2 linked regions of the Arabidopsis thaliana genome follow. The protein of the gene in region 2 interacts with the protein of the main gene of each other region in a pairwise test. Each region holds a gene or a part of one and is shown on either strand. Other genes may lie near its edges.

What was found.
Region 1: the proteins of UBC9 (region 2) and ATGP4 interact in a two-hybrid assay, tested with the Arabidopsis thaliana proteins (one study listed by BioGRID).

What each region holds. Positions count from the first base shown.
Region 1 is NC_003075.7:12,845,678-12,858,037, forward strand, and holds ATGP4 (Ubiquitin family protein), read right to left. Parts: upstream 6,134-12,360; 5' UTR 5,769-6,133; exon of another isoform or gene 5,673-5,768; 5' UTR 5,573-5,672; coding exon 5,443-5,572; intron 5,191-5,442; coding exon 5,020-5,190; intron 4,352-5,019; coding exon 4,296-4,351; 3' UTR 3,974-4,295; downstream 1-3,973. Other genes in the region: UMAMIT16-psi (nodulin MtN21 /EamA-like transporter family protein), read right to left, coding at 1,120-1,167, 1,258-1,372, 1,452-1,589, 1,675-1,721, 1,904-2,135, 2,246-2,362, 2,584-2,699; AMY1 (alpha-amylase-like protein), read right to left, coding at 6,432-6,683, 6,756-7,121, 7,346-7,776, 7,848-7,980, 8,059-8,148; SWEET14 (Nodulin MtN3 family protein), read right to left, coding at 8,953-9,219, 9,587-9,706, 9,925-10,086, 10,173-10,386, 10,472-10,508, 10,629-10,674. UniProt on the Arabidopsis thaliana protein: May serve as docking site to facilitate the association of other proteins to the plasma membrane.
Region 2 is NC_003075.7:13,910,387-13,922,132, forward strand, and holds UBC9 (ubiquitin conjugating enzyme 9), read right to left. Parts: upstream 7,115-11,746; 5' UTR 6,908-7,114; coding exon 6,748-6,907; intron 6,315-6,747; coding exon 6,187-6,314; intron 6,021-6,186; coding exon 5,916-6,020; intron 5,823-5,915; coding exon 5,679-5,822; 3' UTR 5,145-5,678; downstream 1-5,144. Other genes in the region: CRF4 (cytokinin response factor 4), read right to left, coding at 1-353; SLAH2 (SLAC1 homologue 2), read right to left, coding at 7,904-8,288, 8,376-8,407, 8,508-9,278, 9,365-9,736; AT4G27980 (trichohyalin-like protein (DUF3444)), read left to right, coding at 11,059-11,150, 11,269-11,746. UniProt on the Arabidopsis thaliana protein: Accepts the ubiquitin-like protein SUMO/SMT3 from the E1 complex and catalyzes its covalent attachment to other proteins. Mediates the selective degradation of short-lived and abnormal proteins.

The sequences.
Region 1 (12,360 bases), 1.1 Mb from region 2:
AGGAAAAGCAGAAAGCAGGGCAGAGCCGGAAAGAATCGGAGATAAGTGCAAGAGTACGGACATAGTGGTGAACCAAGCAGTGACGATACCAATGCCTAATGGAATACCATGTTATATTGTAGTATGTCTGGATGCATAATTTCGAGGATACATATCAACTGCGGTTGGTTCAGCTCGGCTAAGTGGATAAACCCAAGACTCTTCAAACGTATTTACTACGAAGACTGTCTCGTCAACAACAGCAAGCCTAAATTTGCCTTTTGGCTCCACTCTCTCTTTTCACTACCGCAACACTTTCCCTTACCAATCTATCTGCGGCCTTCGTGACCTGTTCTTAGGTGGTGGCTTTTTCTCTTGTTTTTTTTTATAGGATGAGATAGTCGAAACAGAGGGAACTTAAGAGGCCTTATTAGATACAGAAATATGAGATTAGTCATATTCATATACCATACCATCCACTTTTGTTTTTTGGTTCTCTTGGGATGTGAAACAGTGATAGATAAATGAATATATCAAAACTCTTTTTTCCCTCTCTATTAAGCTTTTCTCAAGACCTATTATTGTAACTGGAAATGGTCAAAACCCTCAGTCTCAGATCCTAGAACTAGCTTATTGGGTCAAGTTGATTGAGCCCTTAAAACCACTAAGAGAAATAACCTCGGAAGCAATCTTTGAATTTGAACATGGTCAGACTCAAGACACCATACCATCCTGTCATTTGTTCTCTAGGATGGGAAACTTTATGGATAAATGAATATATCAACCTATATTCCCCTCTATAAGCTCATCTCAATACTTATAGATATAGTAGCTGGACAATGTCAAAACCTCAGACCCCAGAACAAGCCTATCCAGAATATAACAGACCAATGAATGAGATGTTGAATATTCACTGATGGGGATAAATAAGAATCCAATGAAATCAAGAGATTGGGATGCGTAGTTTTTACACCATAAAGTAGAATTTCTCAATTAAATCCAAATCACAAACACCAAATTGAATTGTCATTCATAAAACGAGAATCTAAATCTCATGTGGTAGAGCTTAGAAGTAGAAACAGCTCTATCAACACACAGAGAGAATTGAAGAAGAAGATACAAACTTGGATACTTTTCTGGTTATTCCTCTACAAATGGTCTTCCATCTCTAACAATCTTCATCTCTTTCTAGCCAATCACTAATTGCCAACTCACAATTCACACCTCTACCAATCATAGTCTCACAAACTTCCAAGTCACTCTTTTCCTATATCATACCTCAGTTGCCTCAGGCTCTGGAGGTGGAGGTGGCGGCGGCGGCGTGGTTTGTTCTCCCATTTTTCCCCAAAGAACAAAAGAGATGCCAATGATAATCACGAAAGCTCCAATTATCCTGATTCAGCAAAGAAAGATGAGTTGAGAAGAGGACTACTAAGAGATACCAAGGATGTTAGGAAAGCACCAATGCTCACCTCCCGACAAACATCTGCTCAGAGAGTACAACCGAGCTAATGACCGCCGTGGCAATCAGATTGATTGGATTGAAGATACTCACCCTTCTTCTGTGCCATCCACCCAACAACGTAAACCGTTGTTGCTGAGAAACATCCCTGTACAGTGGAGAATGAGTTTCAATACAAATTGTATGACAACCAAATGACTTCTTGATTCAATTCAACTTACCCCAGAGACGCTAACACTGTCACATTTGGATGAAGTTTCAAGGCTTTAAGTTTATTTCTCTCCCATATTAGTGCGGTGACCGTTGATCCAACGCCCCGATGATGCAGATGAGAGCCGTCAGGGACAGTTTTGCCGGGTACGACACTACTACCTTGGCCTGCAAGAAACATCATATAGATTAAAAGGCCAGCCAACTTAGTAAATTTCTGTAAAGAAACATTGTGACCTTTGGGCTTTTTACCTGAAGAATAACATAGAAGCTCCAACTCAAGCAGCTGCACACTAGCATAAGCCCTCCTCTTAGGATGTCCTCATCATGTCTGTGGATCTTCTTTGCGTGCAGCAAGCTGTTCCATGGCAATGGAATCACCTGGCCTCTCCAAAATGTCATCAGCATTGCTCCAGCAACCGCCACACACGTTCCAAGAACTTTTGCTTTTCCTCGATGACTGTGAATAGCCACTTTCTCCAACCTTGCAAAAGGGTACGAGACATTACATGTTGGAACTAAAGTCAAAACACACATACTGATTTGATTATTACTCATACAGAACTAAATGTTTGAAAGAAAATAGAAGGCTACCTGAATATACAGGCCATCACAAATGTAATGGCCGGGAGTAGGTTGAACATTCCGGAAGTGAAAGTGGGCGTTGTGAGCTGCATGCCTGTATAGTACAAGTTTTGCTCCAATAGTGGCCTGTAAGAAAACATTTGATTAAACCTCTAATATATTGATGAATGTGATGATTCATACAAACTATAAGTAACTTACTCGAAAATGCTCATGATAACTATCTGAGCAAAGATTCTTTTAGTCAGGTCTTGTATTCCTATAGATTTGAGATTATTATTAGCACCAGAAACAAAACAAAACAACAAAAAAAACAGAGAAAACATACAATAAGTTATGGTTGGTACCTCTCAAATACTAAAGCAAGGGGTGATAGAATTGAAAATGCAATAACCAGACGCGCAGCAACAAAGATTCTCGGAGAAAGCCCGTAATCTAGAGCATACTTTGCAATGACCGACATTATGGATAAACCAATCTGAATTGAAACAGCCGCAACTACTGGTAGGATGTTATGATCATGGCTTCTTCTTCTTCTACGTCTTTTTTTTTTGGTTAAATTATATTCAAAAAAAAAAAAAAAAACGTTTTAGATCCGTTTTTCTTAAGTTTTTAGTAGAAATTACTTAAAAACCATTGCCTAGGAAAATAAAAATAGAACACAAAGCTTTTACCTGAGGAACTGAGTACTGAAAGCAGCTTAGTCTCGTGAAGCAAACCAGCCTTTGTCGACTGTCGTAGCGTCTGTCCTCGGTTGATTGAATTGTCCAGATCTGATTACGAATATATTTATCTATCCATCGGATGAGGTTGGTTGCAATTCCTGGTTGCACTTCTTCTTCGTCTTTTTCTTCTTCTTCTTTAAAAATAAAATAAAATTTAAAAGTGTGGTCTCAGTGGTGTTCGTCAATGGAGGAGGAGGTGCAGGAAGAAAATATTCTAAAGAAAATGCTTCCAGCTCGTTTTTACTTTAATGCTATTATAGTGTGTGGTTTTTACGCTTGTTTATCTCCAAGCTCCTTGTTTTGGTAATATGACATTAACGTCATTATGACTCTTTAACTACCAACTCATACAGTATAAATACCGTAGTTAGCTACTTATACATGTCGTATACGCTTATACTACTCAGATTGACCGGACGATTCGTCACCGGCTTTCGTGTCTAGGGTTTACCGACAGCTCTCTTTTTCCATTGGGCCCTATCATAATTTATCCATCAACAGCCCAATCTTTTTAGCGCCACGCATAAAGCTTGGCTCCCTTTTTTGGTTTTTTTTCTCCTCGTTTTAAATGTTAAAACTAGGTTGTTTTACTTGTGTTTTGATATTTTTAACTATTGTTTGTAGTACATGTGTTTGATTCAATTTAGTTTCATATTGCCATCTTTCTGCAATTCTTTTTTTTTTTAATGTAGATAAGTACATACCATTGTTATGACTTTTTTTAGTTTATGTTGGTATTTATAAGTAGCTAGGTTATGACTTGTGTCATATATCATGTGTTATTACATCATGCCTCTGTTCGAGACTACGTCGCCTTCATCCATCACTACTCTTCCTGTCTGTCTGATCGGAACCGCAACTCCATCCTCTTACCTTTTCCCAACCTAAAACAAAAAGAGATGAATTTTCTGTTCGAAGTGATGTTCAGAGTTCATGAATTCATTAATTACATTTACGGGCCAGCCAGAATTTGGCCATTTCGCAAATTCACCTATACTAAAACGGTGTGAAAGGAAGAACGAAAAATACAAAGGCACAATCTTTTTTAAAAATAGATAGATATATAATTATCTTCATCACACGTAACGTAATGGACCTAGTAACCTATACAGCTTCCATACATTGGGAAAGTAAGAAGAAAAAACAAATAAGGGACAAAGAGTTACTTGAAAAGAATTTATAGTTCATTTTCTACACATTCAAAGATGATAAATAACTCCACAGCTTAAAGGGAAGCTTTACTTTACTTTTAGCTTTCTTTTTTTGATTTTGTTTTCTTCTGTACCGGAAGAATTGAAACGATGTGTATGATAGATACATTGGTCTTCCTCCCTTCACAAAATGGTGCATGTGCAGATTACTGCCTTTGGTGCTTTATCAACCTTCTTCTCTGTTTAATCAAAAACCAGTATTCAACTGTTAGTTAGCTTTCATCAACAAACGTCTTAGTAATCACAAACTCACTTTCCACGACTTTCTCAAGTTTGTGAAAAAACAAATTATGCAGACAAATCTCAAAGACTGGCAAAAGTTTTCAGTGGGGTTTACAAGGAGATGACGACCAATAATGAATTCAGGTATTCCTTTCCTCATGGCATGCTTTGCTAAGCTTAGAGCTGATTTTTGCTTTATTTCACACAAAGAACACACCAGAAACCTAGGAATGAATTCTAGGGTATCCTTTACTCTCTCTCAAGACAAACAAACCAAATTTAGACAAAACCACTAATCACCTGATAGGTTGATTGAGTCAGTACCATAGGCTGTTAGAAAGAAAAAGAATGTACTGATCTTAGTCACCGACTAACTTTCTGATGTGCATGAACACTCTTACGAAATCTTACCAGCCTCAATTAATATAAGTATGACTAGAGCTAGATATTATAAGACGTAAAGTTGAGCCAGATAAATGAATACCATAATCCATACAGTTGACAAGATAAATACCACAAGACTAATGAAAGATTGAGGAACCTCTAAGGACACATATATCTCCATGAAACGGGAATTCTCTGATATAAAAGACATGAAGAACATTACACATAGACAAACAACTACCTGTTTTGGATTTAGCTAGAGAAGGCTGTACAACAACATGCATCACAATGACTCCACCAGCAATATCTCCAAATGGTGTCTTACACTGCCCAACAGTCTTGTTGTTCTCCAAGATCTTACCCGAGCTTATCAGCTTCACTTCGTTTATCCCCTTTGGAACAACTGTTTTGCCTAACCAAAACCACAAAAAAATTGATGCTTGGATCAACCTCAAATCACAGAGACTTGGCTTTTCTCATACATCAAGCTTATAACATCTCAAATGAGCTAATAATAATTCATCTACAGCTCTAAATTTCGAATTTCTACCGACAATTGCAGGATTCAGTGACAATCAACACGAAATTCGTGGGAAGATCATGAATAAAACCAGGATCAGATTGGGGAAAAAGGGGCACCGATTCAAAAAACCTTAAAACTAACCTTTGGGCCAATCAGAGACGACCCTCTGCTTCAAAAAGTCAACAGTAGAAGCCGCAGAATACCGAAAAGGCCCGATATCGGAGCCATCGTACAACCTGAATTTGATATCTATCGATTCTTCCTCCGGCATATCCGTTGACTTCTCTCTGACCTCCGATTACCAACCAAATTCCAGCTCCGATCACCAATCCCGCTTCTCAAACACAACTATTTCAGATCTGAAAATAGGTCTGAAAAAAAGTAGACAGGAACGAGAATCAGAGCTCGCTTCGAAACGGGATAGAACAAAAAAACAAAAAACAAAAAAGAGGAAGAATCAAACACACAGAATCGAAGCTTCCTCCGAAATCGTGTTTCGGATCTTTGATTTTGAGGTGTGAAAAAAGCGAAAGAAGGAAGAAGAAAGAGCTTGCTTTTTTCAAGAGTCACCAAATATCAAAGTTCCTTCTCAAGCCGACGGTTTTCACTTTTTTCCTTCCTTTTTTTTTTCCCCTTTCTTTTCGTCGTCACTTCTACTTCTTCTCAAGCCGACGTCTTCAACTTTTATTGTCCTAGCCAAAAACGCTGTCGTTTTATTCGAATTTACCTGTCTAACTGTTCCCACTTCCCACCATACTTTTTTTTTCTTCTTCTACAATAATATAATTCGTTCTGATTTTGGCAGTATTGTGTGGTTAAGACATCATAATTCTGATTTTAGTAGGGCTCCAAATCTTATACGAGTCGGCCAATATATAATATATTAGTTGTATGCAACAAAACAAAACGATGGAAACTTTCCAATACTTATTTCTACAAGTTGACACTTCTTCACTTGAACTCTTTTCTTTCACTGGAGTTGTATCCTTTAACACCACTAGTGCTCTTTTTATTTAGGTATTCTTTATCATTTTATATTTCATTATACATATCTTTAGATACTGCCAAAATGTTTTATTAAAAAGGAAGAAGATACATTCGATTACTTTTCTTATGATTCGAGTTATGCGTTACTTCTTCTCCCAGACAGCAAAGTCAAGGCCTGAATAAGCTAAAGCAAAATTAGAAGGAACAAGTGTTCCCACATCTTGCTTTGGTCCAATCTTCATGATAACTTTATCATCAATCATAGCCAAGTAGAGATCCGCCTCTGCCGCTTTTATCGTTACAGAGCTTGTGCTACCAATCCCATTTTTGTTCCTGATAGCCACCAGCTTTGAGATGCTCTCTTTTAGTCCCCATTCTATGTAATGATTATAAAACTGCAACAAAAATAACATATCAACAAGATTGTAGTTGTAAATAGTATAGCTACATACTAAAATGATACTTACAATGCAAGGAGTTCCTGGATGAGTAAGTATATAAACGTATCCAAGCAAGACTTTATCAGAAGGGAAAACCCACGTTCTGAATGTATCATGGTTATCTATGAATGTGACAGCGTTTCCGGGCATGATTCCTATCATACCAGGCGGTTTTCCCTGCGAGTCCTTTAGTCTCCAAAGCTCACCTTTGACAGCAGACTGTAAGATCCCTTTGGTGGTGAAATCAAAAGCTGTCAACACACCACCACCCGCTTCCTCGATCCACTGTTTGAGACCCGACCGATGCTCGTTCTGATCATAGTCTAGTTTCCCGTCTCCTCCGTACTTCATATCGTCCCATTTCTCACCCACCGCAAAATCCGGTGATGTATTCTGTGTATCCAAAAACAGAGGAATTTATCACATAATCAGTAGTGAACTTTCTTATATATTTCTTATTGATTGCATTGACTTATGTTTCTTATATACTAAATAGTAGTAAATAACCCTATCAACCTATGATACTTATATATACTAATAGTAAATAATTATCTCAACCTATGTTTCTTATATACTAATACTGTTGTCTGATATTTGAGAATTCATATGTGATTTACCTGAACGTATAATTTGGTGATGGAAGATGCATAACCTCGAACATAATCAAATCTCCAACCATGGAATCCGATTTCAGTTTTAAGCCAATTCATCCATTCGGACAACTCTTTCTGAACTCTAGGGTTAAGGTGGTCGATGTCGGGCGCTCCATCAAAATCTCCTCCGGTGTCGAGGTTTCCGGTACCGGGAAATTTAGGGTCATTGCGGCAGACAAAGGAAGGATCCCAATCAAGACGATCATCGGAAGTCCCACCTTCGAAATAACAGTATCCACATTTATCGTCTTTCCTCTCAGCTGTTCTGTGGTTAATCACTATATCAGCCAAAGCTTTTATTCCTTTTTGATTCAACGCTTTGATTAACGATTTCAGTTCCGCCTCTGAACCGTATTTGGAGCTGTTTAGATCGTATAGCTTTCCCGGTAAGTAACCTGAGGAATGAAGATTGCGTGAGTAACAAGATTGGTATGTGAATGTGTAAAGAGTAAAGCAGAAATGGAACCTTCAGGAGCAACGGATTGAGAAGGAGGAGGAAGCCAAAGATGAGTGATTCCAGCGTTGGCTATGTCGTCAATGGAGTTGTGGAGAGAATTGTAGAATCCTCCTTCTTTCTTCCATGACTCCCAATTGAAACTCTGTTTCACAATTGAAAGAAACCCAATAAGTGAGTGTGTAGAGTCTGTGTATGTAAAGAAGCAAAACTAAAGACGAACCTGAAACAATAAGGTGGAGGAAAACGTGAAGGTTGGAAAGACGATGAAGAAAAGAAGAGAAGAGAAGAGTAACGTATGGAGAGATGTCATTGTCTGATTGTGAATGGTTTGCTTCTTCTATCTGCTTTGTGTGTTTATATTGAGACCCTAAACCTTGTAGAGTTACGTAACCTAAACGACACGGCCTTGTCATATCTGATATATTTCTTCATCAGTCTATTTTTCTTGGGAATGAAATGTGAATACATTTACAAGGAGTTATGGCAAAAAATCTACTCTGTCTGATCCTAGCTCTAAAATGAGTCAAGTATGGTCTCCCTTTAGACCTCCATTTGTCACGTTTTGAGTGGACAATAGGTTGAGAATATTCTAGGGGAAAAAATGATATTTGGAGCTAATATATGTTGTTTGGGCTGTTAAAAAAAGTGATTGGGCCGTAACATTAACTTTTCCTAGAGGAATCATAAAACGAAGAGGCTAGAGTACTTGTTATTTATTAGACGTTAGGGTAAAATAGAATTGAGAAGTACTAGGTAACTCAATTCTGGTAGTCCAGATGAATTCTGAAGTATTGTCTACATGTGATGTACACCATAATGATTTTTTTTTAAAACATCTGACCTGTGAATGATCATGTTTATCTAACTTACTTTGAATTTTCATTTCCTTTTTAATTAGCCGGACTAATAAACTTTTAAGTATTACTGAGAACAGAGGCATCAAAAACTATTTTACAAAATTCTAAACGACGCACATAAATTTTTGAAGGATAGTACAATTTCGAGATATTTCGAAAGAAGATGATGAGAAAATAAAAGACAAATTAGGAAACCAGACTCAACAGTTCAACATTAAAGTCAATCACTAATTCATAATTGAAAACTAAATCTTGACTTAGTTTGGCATTTTCTTGTCCATCTGGTCCTCTAAGTCACCACCATGAGTTTTAATAGGATGACTCACGTCAGGATTAGTCTGCGGCTGAACCGTAAGATCACCAGAAGCCGGAGTAGATGAAAGCTTGACCATGTTGATGGAATGATCCGACACCGTTTTGGGCTTCTCTGTCTCATCAACCACTAGTGGAGTTTTGTAGTACTTGAATATGACGTATAGAATCATTTGGACTGCTCCGAGAAACGCACCCAATATATTTGGAAGCTTCAAATCATAAAAAAGTAATCACATCATCAGTAACAATCCCACTAATCATTTTTTGATAGGGAACAGTAATCCTATTAATCGCCGACAACCTAAAAAACTTTATATAATTGTACTCTCGGTTTCTTTTACGTGATCATATAATATATGATTGTAAGCATAAAGCAAAAGTAGCGTACGGCTCAAATCATTCATTCGTCGTCTTTAAATAGATGGAATTTGGGCAAAGAGACAAAAGGTGGTGGAAACTCTTTTGCCTTTAACATAAACCACACATAATAATATATGATACTATGTTTGAGCTGTCCATTTTCATATACTAAAGAAAAAGATTCACATATAATATAAGAAAAAAAGAGAGACTCACCGCAACGTAGAAGTCTTTAATAGCAAGACCGTAGAAGAGCCACGTAATGGCGCTGATTGTAAGAAACAATGATAGAGAGAAAGGCATAAACTCCACACTCTTTGTTCGTATCACCACTCTCTGCGTCATCATTTTATACAATTTCACATGTTAGAGAACTATATAATATACGTAAACATAAAGAGATGCTATTACCGGAAAAGGAAAGACAAATATTAGTTTCTTTGATTTTAGAGTATATTATATTCTCTATATGAATTAGCATGGCTCTTTTTAGATAGACAAACATTTCTTTTTTCTGAGTGCGTGTGATACATGTCACATAAGTATGTACGTACCATGATGCTCAAAGGAGCTGCGAAAACACAAACAGAAAATCCGACGCAAATCCCTCCAAGGACTTTCTCACGGTTCGATCCTTTGGTTAGGAGCTCGCAGACGAGAATAATAGCAGCAAAACCCAAGAAATTCAAGAGCCCAAGAACCTTCAAAGTTGATATCTACATGGTTTATCATCATCAGCTAAACCTGTATGTATGAGTGCATGTTTTAATATACCAAAAGAAATGGGATGGTTTAAACGTACTCTAGCTTTCTTGTTAGCATAGGTGATGAAGAGGATGATGTAGATGGTTTCGATGAAGCATCCCACAGCGTTTATGGTAATGAGAAGGAAGCCTGCTCCATCTTTTTGCAGAGCATAGTAAATCCATAGCATCGCGCTAAAGAGGGCTGACACGTAGGGAAGTGATTCAAAACCTTCTATCGATTTTTTCTTGCAGATTCTTACAAAAGTTGGCCTGAAAATAATGTCCAAAACATTTTTCTTTGTTAAGAGAAAGCAAATAAAAATAGAAGTGTACGTTTGAGATCGATGATGCTTACACTGGTGCCAAGAAAACGATGAACGATATGATGTTACCTACAAAAATACATATAGGTAAAGATAACAAAGTTAAATTTGATATGCACTTATAAGAACAATGATATAGTATATAGTTTTGTATAACTTGATGTTTATTTATGAATGCTTGAAACTTACCCAGGACTCCAAATGTAACTGCCAATACGTTGTGAGTGAGAACCATTTTGGTTATTTTGTGAATGAGCGAGCTCTTCAGTATCTTTCTACTTTTGAATGGGAGTGTCGGAGAAAACTAATAAGGAAACAAGAGAAGGGAAAATATATAGAGATCTTCGACTCTTGATTCCTCTATTTGAGTTTTCTTCGATATGAATTAACTAGCGAGGCCAATGGTTCACTATATATAGAGACATGGTAATATGTGTAATGGTTCCATGCTTATATGCTAGGGACGTCGTCGTTTCGTGGTAAAAGAGAGAGAAGAACATCGCAGATTGACGGTCTCAGATATTTCTATGGTTTTTAAAAATGGAAAATATTCGATAATTTTATGTGGTATGCACTCTTGGCGTGTATTATTTTGGTGTCAAACTTTTATGCCAAACCTTGGTTTATATTATTATCGTAGTCATTTAAGTGACCTTTCTTTTTCCTTTAAACCAAATAAAAATAAATGAGCTTTTAATATAGGCGTTACTAAACTGCAAAGAAACCCTTAAAACTTATTGGTAATTTGTTCCTTTGGCATGACCAATAATATAATTAAACCATTGATCGGCTGATAGCTTTCTAGCTAACCATCCAAATAAATAATATATTTAATTTTGATGGTTTTCATCATTGTATTAAAAAACGTAATCTAATTTTCCAATATTCTACCAGGACTCAAACTAGCTAATTAATTAGTTTAGATATTTGTTCTCCGTACACATGTAAGATATAACTACATCTTTTTGTTGCCATCATATAACTACGCGCGTTATGTAAACTATCCAAGCTTGCATTGTAAAATATATATACTATAAACACGTTTCAACGTTTTCTACTATTGATAATAACTAAGAAAAAAAAATTATTAAACACAACATAAGAATATTTTATAAAAATGCATCTCATTTTAAAAATAAAAATTCAATTCATGTATCACTTAAATTTAATACACTCCTGGAGCAAAAATATTGATTGCAAAAGTTCTAGTTCCCATTCCATCTCCAACCCGAATCGTTACATACCGAATTAAGTTCCATTAACCATGCGTGTTTGCTCGTTTTGTTCATCATACCAGTAAAAATGAACGTTTAGGTGTCCGCCACGTGTGACATATTTTATGTTGTCTCCGAGCACTCTTGAACTTCATGATTAGGCAGCCAAAATTAGGTCCGTAACTAATTTTATTTTATTAGCTCTCATAACAACAAATAATATCTTGTCCCTGTGATAATGTATATAAACGCGTCGAGAAGAAAGCAAACAATATAAATTGTATAAAACAAAGAATAGTGCGTTTCATCTTAGACGCGACTGTCGCGTGTGTAAACCGTATAGGGTAAGATTCACCATCATGCTTCTTGATGCTCCACTTGACTACTTTCATGTTAATCTTATTATCTACACAAATATTATCGTATCCAACACCAATCTTCAACTAATTTTAAAAAATCATGCTTTATATTTCTATAATAATATAATTTTATAACCGAACCAAAATTTTAACAAAAATTAGTAATATGCAACTAGTTAAGCTTTTGGAATTAATTATACTATGATATGTCTAGGTTGTAATTAAGCTTTAATTTTACCGTAATACAACTTCTCACTCCACTTATAGAGAGTAATTATACACTAGGGAAATGAAAGGTGGCATGTTAAAATGTTGAGTTAGAAGTTCAAGCTATGAATATTGTAATCA
Region 2 (11,746 bases):
TACTTCTTCTGGTTTTGGCCGGAAACAGAGGGCTTTTGAACCGTAGAATCAACGTTGATTCTTTTCCGGTCCTTCGTCGGAGAAGCAGAGACGTCGCCGGTGGAAGAGCTGCTAGGCTCGACTCTGATCTCGTTAATCAATCTCTTGACACGTCTTCGAGGGAACAGAAACTCTTCCTCGTCGCTTGATGAATCAGTGGCGTCACGATCCGTCATTGAGACCCGAACCAACCTGGCCGAGTCACGAACACTGGTCTTCCTCTCCATAGACGACTTTTTAGTGTACTTTCTGATAACAGTCTTGTGCTCTGTGTACTTCACTGGTCTAAGATCCATAAACTCATCCATCATCATCACCTATTATTTTAAACAGAGAGATTCTGGTGAAAAAAAGAACAGAGATTCTGGTGAAAATTTTCAGAGATTTGGAGAAAGAGAGGAAAAGGGTATATAAAATGAAAGAGAAAGAGAGACTGTTAAGTTTAAAGTGAGAAGATTCAGAAGTCACTGTTAAATCCTACTTTATAGGATCTTTCGGGCTTTAGCCATATTTGGTATATATAAAGTAATAAATAGAATAAAATATTTTTATATTCTTTGCTTTTATTTACTTATTTCCATTTTTTCACTTTTGAAATATCCTCTTTTACCGTGTCACATAAATATACTGTATCAGTTTTACATTTTTACACCGCCTAACACATTTTAAAGTGACAATAAAAAATGTAAAACAACAAAAAAGTCTTTGTAAAAACTATATTATTTGTGAAACATATAAAAAGTAAAAATTTACATGATATTTTGGTAGTCATTATTGATAACGATAAGTAGAAACTATATATTTTAAAAATTGTTAAGTTATCTACTTTTTTTTTTTTTTTTGGTTTTTAAACATTCTCAATTCGTCAATTCGCAGTGATATATTAGCCACAAATTTTGATACAGAGAGGAGTGAATTACTAAACGGGACGCCGCATTCATATAAGCAAATCGCATGATGACACCTGTACAAATGAGATATTTTTCTTCTTTGAGATGACTATCTTTCTGCTGAGTCAGCAGCGCGTGGCTTCTAATCTCGAAATCTACGATGCATATCACGTGACCCCAAGATACCCGGTCCCAGTTTTATTTTAACTGCTTTCATTTTTTGAAAAGATATCTACTATTTTGTTTTTGTTTTTGAAAATGTTTTAGTTACAGACAAATATGTTTTTTATATTATTGAAGATTAAAATATTTTTTAAAAAAATATGATGACTTCACCCAGGTTTGACCGACATCTGTAGCGAATTCGTTTAGCTGTTTCGTCCCATGCATTCATTTCTTATGAACAACCTGTCACGTGATGTGTTTTCCTAAAGTGCTTATTCAACAGTAAATATACTATTTGAGTAAATGCTATATTTATGTTCCAAATGAGTAAATTCCGACCAATGTAAAAAGGGAATCAATCTTTATTTTCCAGTAAGAAAATATATTTGTTTCTGTTATTATATGATTCTATTTTAAGGAAAAACTGTTACAAATTATTCAGTAAAATCCTCTCATTTCCAGTGAGATAAGTAACGTGGCGGGCAACCTAGGATTTGGCGCTAATTTTTTTTTTTTTTCGTTTCAGAGCTTTCATTTTTGAAAATATGAAAATTCAAAAACTTGAACTTACAAAAATTCATCTCTAACCGAGTTCTGATTTAGTTTAGGGTTGAAAAAATCAGTTGAAAATTACAAGTCATTATGAAACCAAAAAAAAAAACACGAGATTTTTTTTTGTCAGGTTAGTCGGACGAGCATCAGAATAGTGCTAACTAGAAGCAGAGAGAGAGGAAGATCGGTTAAGAAAGGTCGTGTGAGAGAAGCCAAGGACGATTTGATTCTGAATATCCAAAGTGGGAAGAAGAGAGAGACATGGAGAATCCTTTGGATTGACAAAAGACAAACCCCGAGGTTTAGTGCAGTGTTCTTGGCCACTGTCCTACATTGAGCCAAGTGACCAATCCACGTATATTTTATATATGCGTCTATTACTATACGAACCATATTATAATACGTACATGTGTGTTACTAAAAACGACAATTAAGTGACTACATTGAAATTTAGACAAACTGTGAATCTTGTTTTAGACTTGGGTTGACCACTTTCTTTTTTGGAGCGATAACAACTTCTCACCAATGACTTTTAATAACGACTGGGTTGAAGTAACAATACCCAACCCAATATTTATAACTTTTTGATATTAACATCTTTTTGTTGCCATTCACCATTAATCGGTGACATGTGACAATAAAAAGAAGATTGCGTTACAGATTTTGTTGAAAGCTAATACAATGTGTCATGTGTGCATATATAACGTGTCCATCTACGGTTATGAACGAAGAATCCAAATAGAAGAAAGAAACGAGACTTGTTGGTAAAAAATAAATTTAAGGACAAAGATCCATTCTTAAAAGAAGGGCCACCCCTCAAAATAGCAAAACGTTGAAAGCTTTATCACCATTAGTTACTTATATAATAATGTGATGTACGTTGGTCTTGGTGCATAGCTTTAAATTAAAAATGAGCTCGAACTTTGATGGACAAATAAAGACTAGAGAAGGTCACCGCTTGAGTAATTACTTCTCATAACCAAGTTTATGATAATATAAATTAACGTGTGAGTTTCGAGTTTTCCCAAGGTAATGTATGTCTTGGAGCAGAAGCTACATGGTCGCGCGACTCGTGAGTACTACTCAAGTCATTCTCGTGGACAGCCTTAGTTTACAAGCAAGAAATGTTGGTCATATATCTAATAAAAATAAAAATAGCTTACATAGATACTTGGAATTTGTTCGCGAACATTAAATTCATCAAAATTTTATAATAAATATATGTAGTACATTATAGGAATATATATGTAAATGTATAGGTAAAAGTAAAACTATAGCTTTTAAAATAGCCTAAATTATTATTGGTTATTGAAAATACACTAAATTGAAATCTAAATGTAACTATTTAAAAATAATTTATCGAAGTTCCATTATAATTATTTTTATTCATATATAAATAACTTTTTTATGTACAATTCAAACTTTTAACAATTATCGTAAAAACATTTATTCATTAATATTCTTTAAAATTACTCTGTAGAAATAAGTGCCCAACCCAATCGATCATTTGAGCTAAGCTCTACCTTACTAGCGTTGATAGGAATAACATGTTAAATGAACCAAAAGGAAACTAAAAGTTAAACCAATTTGTTTAGGATCTGGTGCAAGACAAATTGTCTGGTTCGGAGAGTTTGATTTTCACGGTGAAAATTTCACCGAAACCTTTTAGTACCATGACTCATGGCACATGAATCGTGACTCCTCTTCTTACCTCCACTTGTCTTGACTCTTGAGACCGCTGAAGTGTCCACTGTAATTTTAAGTTTTATTCAACGCAAAAGGTTTTGTTTAAGAGATTTGATTCACGGCAATATTAACATTAGTGACTGGTCATTAATGCCATTTAGTGGAGGCCACCAAAGGTTACGATTCTCTAATTTACTAAAGACAAAACAGGGGATCTCTAAGATCAGGCTGTAACTAAGTTATTTTCTTCAGTTCTAATTTAAATATTTAATAAAAACCTGGCGTTAACCATGCTCTCTTGGGCACGACCTCTCTCTTTATCATAATTAATAAACTTTTTTTTTTTAAGTTATGGAGACTTTGAACATAGATTAAAAGTAGTCCAGTCACTGACAGAGTGACATTGTATAAGTTTTCGGGGGTATTGAAGGGATATTTAGTAAGTAAACCCTTCGGTCGTTAGACATAAAAATTAGAAAATTTATGGTGACTCTTAGAAAGTACTATATTCTGTAATAGAGAACGGTCCATGCTCGAATAGATCGTGTAATGGTTATTTGGGTTGCACTTTAACAAAAACAATGGTTTTAATTTGGGTTGCAACGGGTGTTAGTCTGCCTTTAATTCTGGAAAGCTGATATTCTGATTTCTTACAATAATTTTCGTATTTTTAGTACATGAAACATTGCCGTTGGTGGGTTAATGTAATTGATATATTCTTAGTGGGATTAGACGTGAATCTTTTCTTTTTGTGTAATAGTACTACTCAAATTTGTGAGATAGTTTTTAGAAAATCTGTTGAATCATGTAAAAGGTCGAAACTAGTTGAAAGACAAATGGTAAGATAACTTATAACTCTAGTTTTAACGGCTTTAGCTGGTTGGAAACAGAAAGTTTTACTGCTTTCGTTCTTTCTAATATGTTTAGAGATCATTAAATTTCGTACGTATGAGTATTCATATACGAATATAATTGGTTTATGTAGAAGTGTAGAACACAGTAATGTAGTGTTATGCTGTTAGGTTTTACTATATAAACAATTTCTATTCATGATACTATATACCATGCATACATATCTATTACAATTACAGATTTAACATAGAACTATTATGAAGTAAAAGACAAGATTATTCAATGCAACTGCTAACCCACACTAAGACCATATATGATGCTGAGTTTACATGTGCATCTAGTGACTAGTGGTAGTTTAAATGCTTTAGAAGGAAAAGTATACCATTCGGTTCTAATAGTATAATTTATTTACAAGTTTTATCAGTAGTAGTGCTCGAGTAGTGAAAACACACATTTAAAAACTTATTCGAATGGACTTGGAAGCCTCGGTAAACCCAAAACTCAAAATATATAGAAATACAAGTGTTGGAGTTTCGAGAAAGAAAATAAACTTTGATTTGAATCTTAAGATAAAGAGTTTTAAAGATTAACATGAATTGATCAAGCGTCCACTAGCACTTTCATTAAGCAAAATATGCATTCATAACATTTTTTTTTTATAAATCGTCAACAAACTAACGTGAAATTATAAAATCATAACCTTAATCTCAACATAATAAGCCCTGATTACTGCTTTAAACCTCGCCAACCTCATAAGCTCCCAACCTTAACAACAACATGTGTCCATCGAAGAGGAATCTAATTCGTGGGATAAACATTATGTTAAAATATACTATACTCCATCACTGAAACAGAACCTTGAACACAAAAGTGTCATAATAGTTGGGTTATACCATAAAAAAGTAACCGTTTTTTCAAGGTCTTTATACCATAATGTTTAGTAGCACTAATGGCTAAACCCGTTTGAGTATATTATTTGGGGAAAAGGTGATTTTAATAGTTTTACTATTTTTTGTAAATCTTAAATTGGTCAAACTTCAAAGTGATAATTCCTTTGTCCCATTTTATTAAATTGTTCCAGATGGATCACAATCACAATCTTAACTCATGAACAACTTCACTCTTAGGCCCCATACACCATTTACATAAATCATTGCCCACATAATACTAAAATGAAAATGTTACGTATGTAAGTTAATAATGTTTACGAAAACGGAAAGGCTTACGATTGTAGCTAGTTTGGGCTTTGGACAGAATAAAATCCAAAATAATATGAGCCTTGATAAACACAGAGACGCATCGGCATCACGCAATAAAGAAACAGCAGACGGGATGATGATTTACGTTTTACAATTCCATAGAATGGAGATCAAATAATTTCTTACTGATCCTGTCTTCACAAATTTTATAAGACAGACAAGTCTATAAAAGATCATTACATAGAAATAAGAAGAGTTTAATTATTAGGGCTCTTCCTTAAGGACAGTATTTGTGTCAGCCCATGGCATACTTTTGGGTCCAGGTCCGAGCAGTGGACTCGTACTTGTTCTTGTCTGTCTTGTACATGTGAGCTATCTCAGGGACCAAAGGATCATCTGGGTTTGGATCCGTTAACAAAGAACAGATCGATAGCAGCACCTGTTGCACCACACAAAATTGATGTCACCTGGAGAGCAAAGCTGCAAAATTATGGTTCTAATATGATAAAGATGAGGAAGAACAAAAGAAAACCTTGGAAATTGTGAGAGCAGGACTCCACTGCTCCTTCAAGATGTCGAGGCAGATGCTTCCATTGCTGTTAATGTTTGGATGGAACACCTTCGTCCTAAAAGCCACCTACATTTTTTGTAACAACATACATAGAGAGCAATGAAATCAAGAACACAGAGAAAAGAACAATAGATAAACGATGGAAGATATTAGCAACAGAAAAATGATGGCCGAAGTAAAGTTGGAAAAAAAATTCAAAGAAGAAGAAGCAGCTGTAGAGATTTGAATATACCTTAGGAGGCTTAAATGGGTAATCTGGAGGGAAATGGATGGTTACAAGAAAAACTCCTCCAGAATAAGGGCTATCCGATGGACCCATTATAGTGGCCTGCCAATGAAACATGTCTTCCGCAACGGGTCCTGTCAACATTTAACCAAAACTTCAATACCAAACCAGAAAAGCAACAACATGCATATAAGAAGAAGTTGGTAAAAGGGGCAAAATTAGAAGAGAACAACAGAGTTATAATCCTAAGATCTCATCCAAGGAAATCAAAAAATGAAACCAGATCTATCAACGAGCAAACAAGTTTGAACATTGACCTTTATGATTCATTCCTAGAAAAATCACAAACAAGTGTTACCATGAAGTATGCAAATTTCTGTTATTAGCAGCTGAATTACCTAAAAATCAAGGATAATTAGATCTAAGCTAACGAGAGATCAATATCAAACCGTCGCACACATAAAAAACCAGCTCAAAAGAAGATCAAAACCAACGACCCATCATTATCCAGCAAGAGGAACATAATTATTGAATCAAAGTTGATAAATCGACTAAAAGAATAGGTACCTGCGCTACATGAAGTAGGAGGATCCTTCTGCAGATCCTTCAATTCCTTCAAAATCCGTTTCGATGCCATTTCCAAAATCCCACGATCCAAATTCCAATTGAAGACTCTGCAATCGAAAACCAATCCAATGGTCAGATGAATTAAGAAGAAGAAAAACATAACCCAGAAAATTATATATAAAGACGGGAAGAAGATCCAAAATCATAACTCCGAATTCACGTTTTTGGTTTTGGTTCTTCGAATTTAGGAGAAGAAAGGGTGGTGAAACGGAAGAGAAGAAGAAGTTGAAAATGTTGTGTGGTCGCGACCACAATAAATAGGGTGCGGGTAAATTCTGGTTCGTTTGATTAGTGGACTCTGCTGCTTTATTCTTTCAGATTCGTTCGTTTTAAATAATGTCAAACTTTTTTTTGGGTGGGCCTAACTCAGCGTTGTACCTACGGCACATATAAAATAACGCGGTTGTTCGTATCATCATCATGTGGCGCCGATGTTTTCCAATCCCGTCGAAGCGTCGTCGTTTAAGTGGTTTAGTCAAAAGTCGTATGATCCGACGGCTGAGAGTTTTGTAGAACGAATCATTTGACGTAATTTGAATGAATTTACCATGCTTTCAAGATTGACCAGCGGTTGATGAAGGATGTTTTTTTTCAAAAACGTGATGTGTAGGAAATTATTACATTGTTTTTACTGTCATATGTCATATGTGACAAGACGATTCGTTTTGGTGACAAAGTATAAAGATGGAGGATGAATTAACATAACAGTGACATTAAGATATATTCGACAAATTAGATGTTAAGCTAGACATTATTTCCACGAAATATGATCTAACTTGTTAAGACAAATTGTGAAGGTTGCGGTTGGTGTGACTAAGTTTGCCTATAACTCAAATAGTTTTTACTTGAATTGAATCAAACAATACTATAATAACTAAATCTAACGAAAGAATAAGCCAAAGTGATTATAGTTTTTATATTTTTGCTGAAATGAAGAAGTAATTTATCATGATCAGTAAAAAGAATGGTATGCAACTAAAATTTACCAAAATAATTAAGATTTTCGCTAATTTATTATTATTAGCACTGCTATAGTGTTGTACATGAGAAGTTAATTAACAAAGATCATGAATTTTCATCACATTTTTTTTTTTTGTTAATTTGAATTCTGAACCGTGGAACTATCTACATTTACTAAAGGAGGAGATTCTAAATCTATTTGATTATCTTCCGGATCCAAAATCTTGGGACATCTCTCATTATTTCCATAACTTTCTTTTGTGAGATGTTTGAACCATCTCTTCTGCTTCGGTTGTTCTGCACTTATGGCAATGACAACGTCATTGGGGAAGAGATCACGTTGGACAAAAGCATGCATCACCGTCAACCCAAGCACAGCTATCACCGTCAGAGTTGCTGCTCCCGACATCACAACCGATAGTATCTTCGTTGCCACTCCCGTGACTTCGTCTGAATATTTGATCGTCGCACTGGCCACTGCCGTCATTGGAAACGTGTAAGCCCACCAAGCTAGCGAGAATCTGATATTTTTTGAATAATTATGTCAGATAACATGTATGTTATTTGGTTTGGTAAATTAGATCCTTGCAGTTCAAGAAACAGCTTACTTGAATCCCCGGAAAAGGTTAATCCGACAAACCTGAAACAAGAATCACAAGAAGTAAAGCTGTTACATTTCTTGTACCACAAGAAACTCAGCACTAGCTCACTAGAACTCTGTTAATGAAAACAAAAACTACCAGAGAGAAGTACAAGAACAAGGAGATGAAGTATGCTAGACGCGAACCGAGATCGAAAGAGGCAGAGATCTTGGTCCAGGCCATGGAAGCGACGGCTGGTGCAGCCACAAAGAGGAAGAAAACAGGGTGAAGCTCTTTAGGTAAGGTTTCATTCGTGGGAAGTCTCTGATAGAGAGTCACAAATAAAACCAAATAATAAGCCAACCCTATGGCAAAGAAGAATATTGGTCCTTCTTTCAACCCCATGGATGCTCCTAGAAGTGCTCCTGCAAAGTTACCGACAATGGAAAGGTGGTTTGTAGGGTTGGCGACTTTGGAGAGGCGTCTTTGTCCACCAGACATCCACTGTCCGTAAATCTTCATCTCAAGAAACAAGATGGGAGCCATAAGGAAGTACCAAAGTGTAGAGGGAAGATGTGAGATGATAGAGTGTGGGATTCCAAGTGCCAAGAAGAGGATTGATATAAGAGGAGCGAAGAAGAAGTTGACTCGGATCGGATGCCGAAACTCACGGCGAACCGCCTCAAAGAAGAGGATGGTTTTGAAGAGGTAAGTGATAGAAACGGCGAGGAGGAGAAGGAGAGAGATCCACCAGAGCACGTGGTTGATCACTTGAGTCACGTGCAAGAACTTCTCTGCCTCTGTGGTTGCTAAGGTCTTCCACATGATGGCTTGACTACTTACTCCAAGACACATCCCATATGATGTGATTGGAAACCGTAGAAGAAACGGCCACGTTTTGTCCTCAGGCAGAACTATCTTCTCCTTCTCCTGTCATCCACCAATAAACCCATAAATAGAAGTAACCAAACACAAGTATAACTCAACCATATGAGCAAAAATGAATGATAAAATACCTTGAGAGTTTCAAGCTCGGGGCCTTGAAGAGCATCAAAGTATCTATCAGCGGTTAAAGATTCAGTAATCTCTTTATGATCCTGCAACGAACTCTCAGTGGGTTTCCCACGTAAATTCGATATCTGACGTTCGAGTTTCCCGGACATGGTCCTGAATAGGTCATACCTCTTGTCGTGGAAGTTTCTAGATGCTTCTTGATCAAGAAACATGGCACCTCGGGGCATAGACTTGGAATGAAACTTCATCTTCCTCGCTCCGATTCGTTTCTCTAATCTTGAGAAATCTCCAGAACCGGATTGACGTTGGTTTTCTAATAGATCTGAGTGGTTTGCTGGAGAAACCAAAGGACTAACCGATCTTGGATTATTCATTGTTTTCCCTGTTTTAGTACATAAATTTGGAACTATATTTATAAAGATCCAAATATATAAAAACCGAATCAAAACGTCACATCCAACTTTTGCAAATGGGTTAGTTGTATATTATTGTTAACATATTACGAAAACGAACATGCAAACCACACACACATACATAAATGTATATATAAACTTACAGAAAATGAAGAGAAAGTGATGGAAAAAGAAAATGTAGATCTGATCAGTGTTTGAAAAGAACAGAGGATCTGATCAGTCGGTGTGACTCTTTTGTGTATGTGAAGTCAAATAAGTCCTCTGAAAATGGTATTTTGGTAAATATGTGGGCCAGAACCAAAGATATTGTGTGTTTTGGCTTTAGTGCTGTCCAGATAAAGTATCTTGTCTTTCACTTTTTTGTTTTTATTTGAGCAGTTTTGTTTTGACCATTACTTCTTGTCTCTCGAGTTATATTTGTCCAGTTACATCTTAACCGATATGATCAAGTGATGGACTCCAATCTGAAGGTAGTCCCAGGCTATTGTTAAAGGCACTGTTAATCCATAAATACAAGGACAACGACCGTAAGAATACATTGAAATTGAATCGTACAAAAACGTTCGGATAAAATATGCAAACAAGTAAAAAAGACATATATAGAGTAGAGATAATGTTCCTCGGAATGTCCTAGTGGACTCGAAAGTCAAGGAGTCAATAAAAGAGGCGGCTTTGCACTCTCGTTTAGTCGCGTCTGCGGATTTTTAGTATCCGTTCCGTACACTCGTCAATAAAATCGATTATAGAATGTTTTTCCTACTACTGTTTTGCCATCTTGAAAGTTTAGAATTATAGTGATAGTAATTTAAGAAAATGAGGTTCTGTAATTTGTAATATTGGGCTGATTGATTCCTTTTTTTTCTTTCATAAACCTTTTGATGGGCTAACAAAAATCATCCTACGAAGCCCATTTAGCTGATCCTTTCACTTTCACAAATCTCATGATCTTTATCCAACGCCCAACGGGCTACAACAAAACCCCATTGTCCGAGAGTTAATAGAAAGCTGACGTCTGATGTACAATAATCCAACGGCTTAAAATAATACAATCGAACGGCCAAAAAGGAAAGCTGTATTTATAAGGTAATAAGACAAAATAGCACTAGTTTCTCTTTCTCCCTCCATTTTCAGTAAATAAAGCATTCTATTTTTTCTTGTTTCATAAGAGAGATGGGAAGAAGCCATTCTTCTTTACCAAAATTTCTGAGTCTTACCAAGAAAGTTTAAAACTTTTCTTCAAATTCCTGGATAAGCTCAAAGGCTCCGTTCGTACAGCGAAAAAAATGTTGAAACCGAAAGTTTTACTAGTTCCCGGAGAAGACACGCCGGCTCAGAAACCACCGTTGGTGTCAACCGAAGACCAAACTCAAGAGAGGTTTATTTTCTCTTCCTACTTTTTGTTTCTATTATTTATTCTTTCTGTACATTCTCATTTTTGTATTTTTTCATGAAAAGTTTCTTCCTTTATGACCCATCTTTTGTTAACTAAAAAGTAGGGTTTATGTCTCTGAGAATATGGCAATGCAAGGGGATTCAGTAGAATCAGACGTTACTGAGCAAAACAGTGAAGGGTATCTCAAAATCCTAGACAAGATTCAGGCAAAATCTTCATCAATTTTTGAGTTTTCGCTTCAGTTTGATGACGTGGTCGCCTCGCTGGAGAAGAAGGAAGAACGACTGAGAGTGGTTGAAATGAAGGAGAAGGAGATTGGTTTGCTTGAAGAGTCAATATCTCGAAGGTTAAGTGTTTTAGAGGAGAAAGAGATTGAAACTGATTTGAGATTGGTCATTGAAGCAAGTATCATGAGATTGGTGCTTGAGAAGCAGAGTGAAGATTTAGTGACACAACTTAAAACAGAGGAGAATAAGCTTGGTTTGTTTCTCCGTTCGACGACGAAGAAACTTGAGGAGCTGGTGAGTGAGTTTGATGGGAGGAAAGAGGAGGCTTGCCGAGTTTCTGAGAAGTTGTGT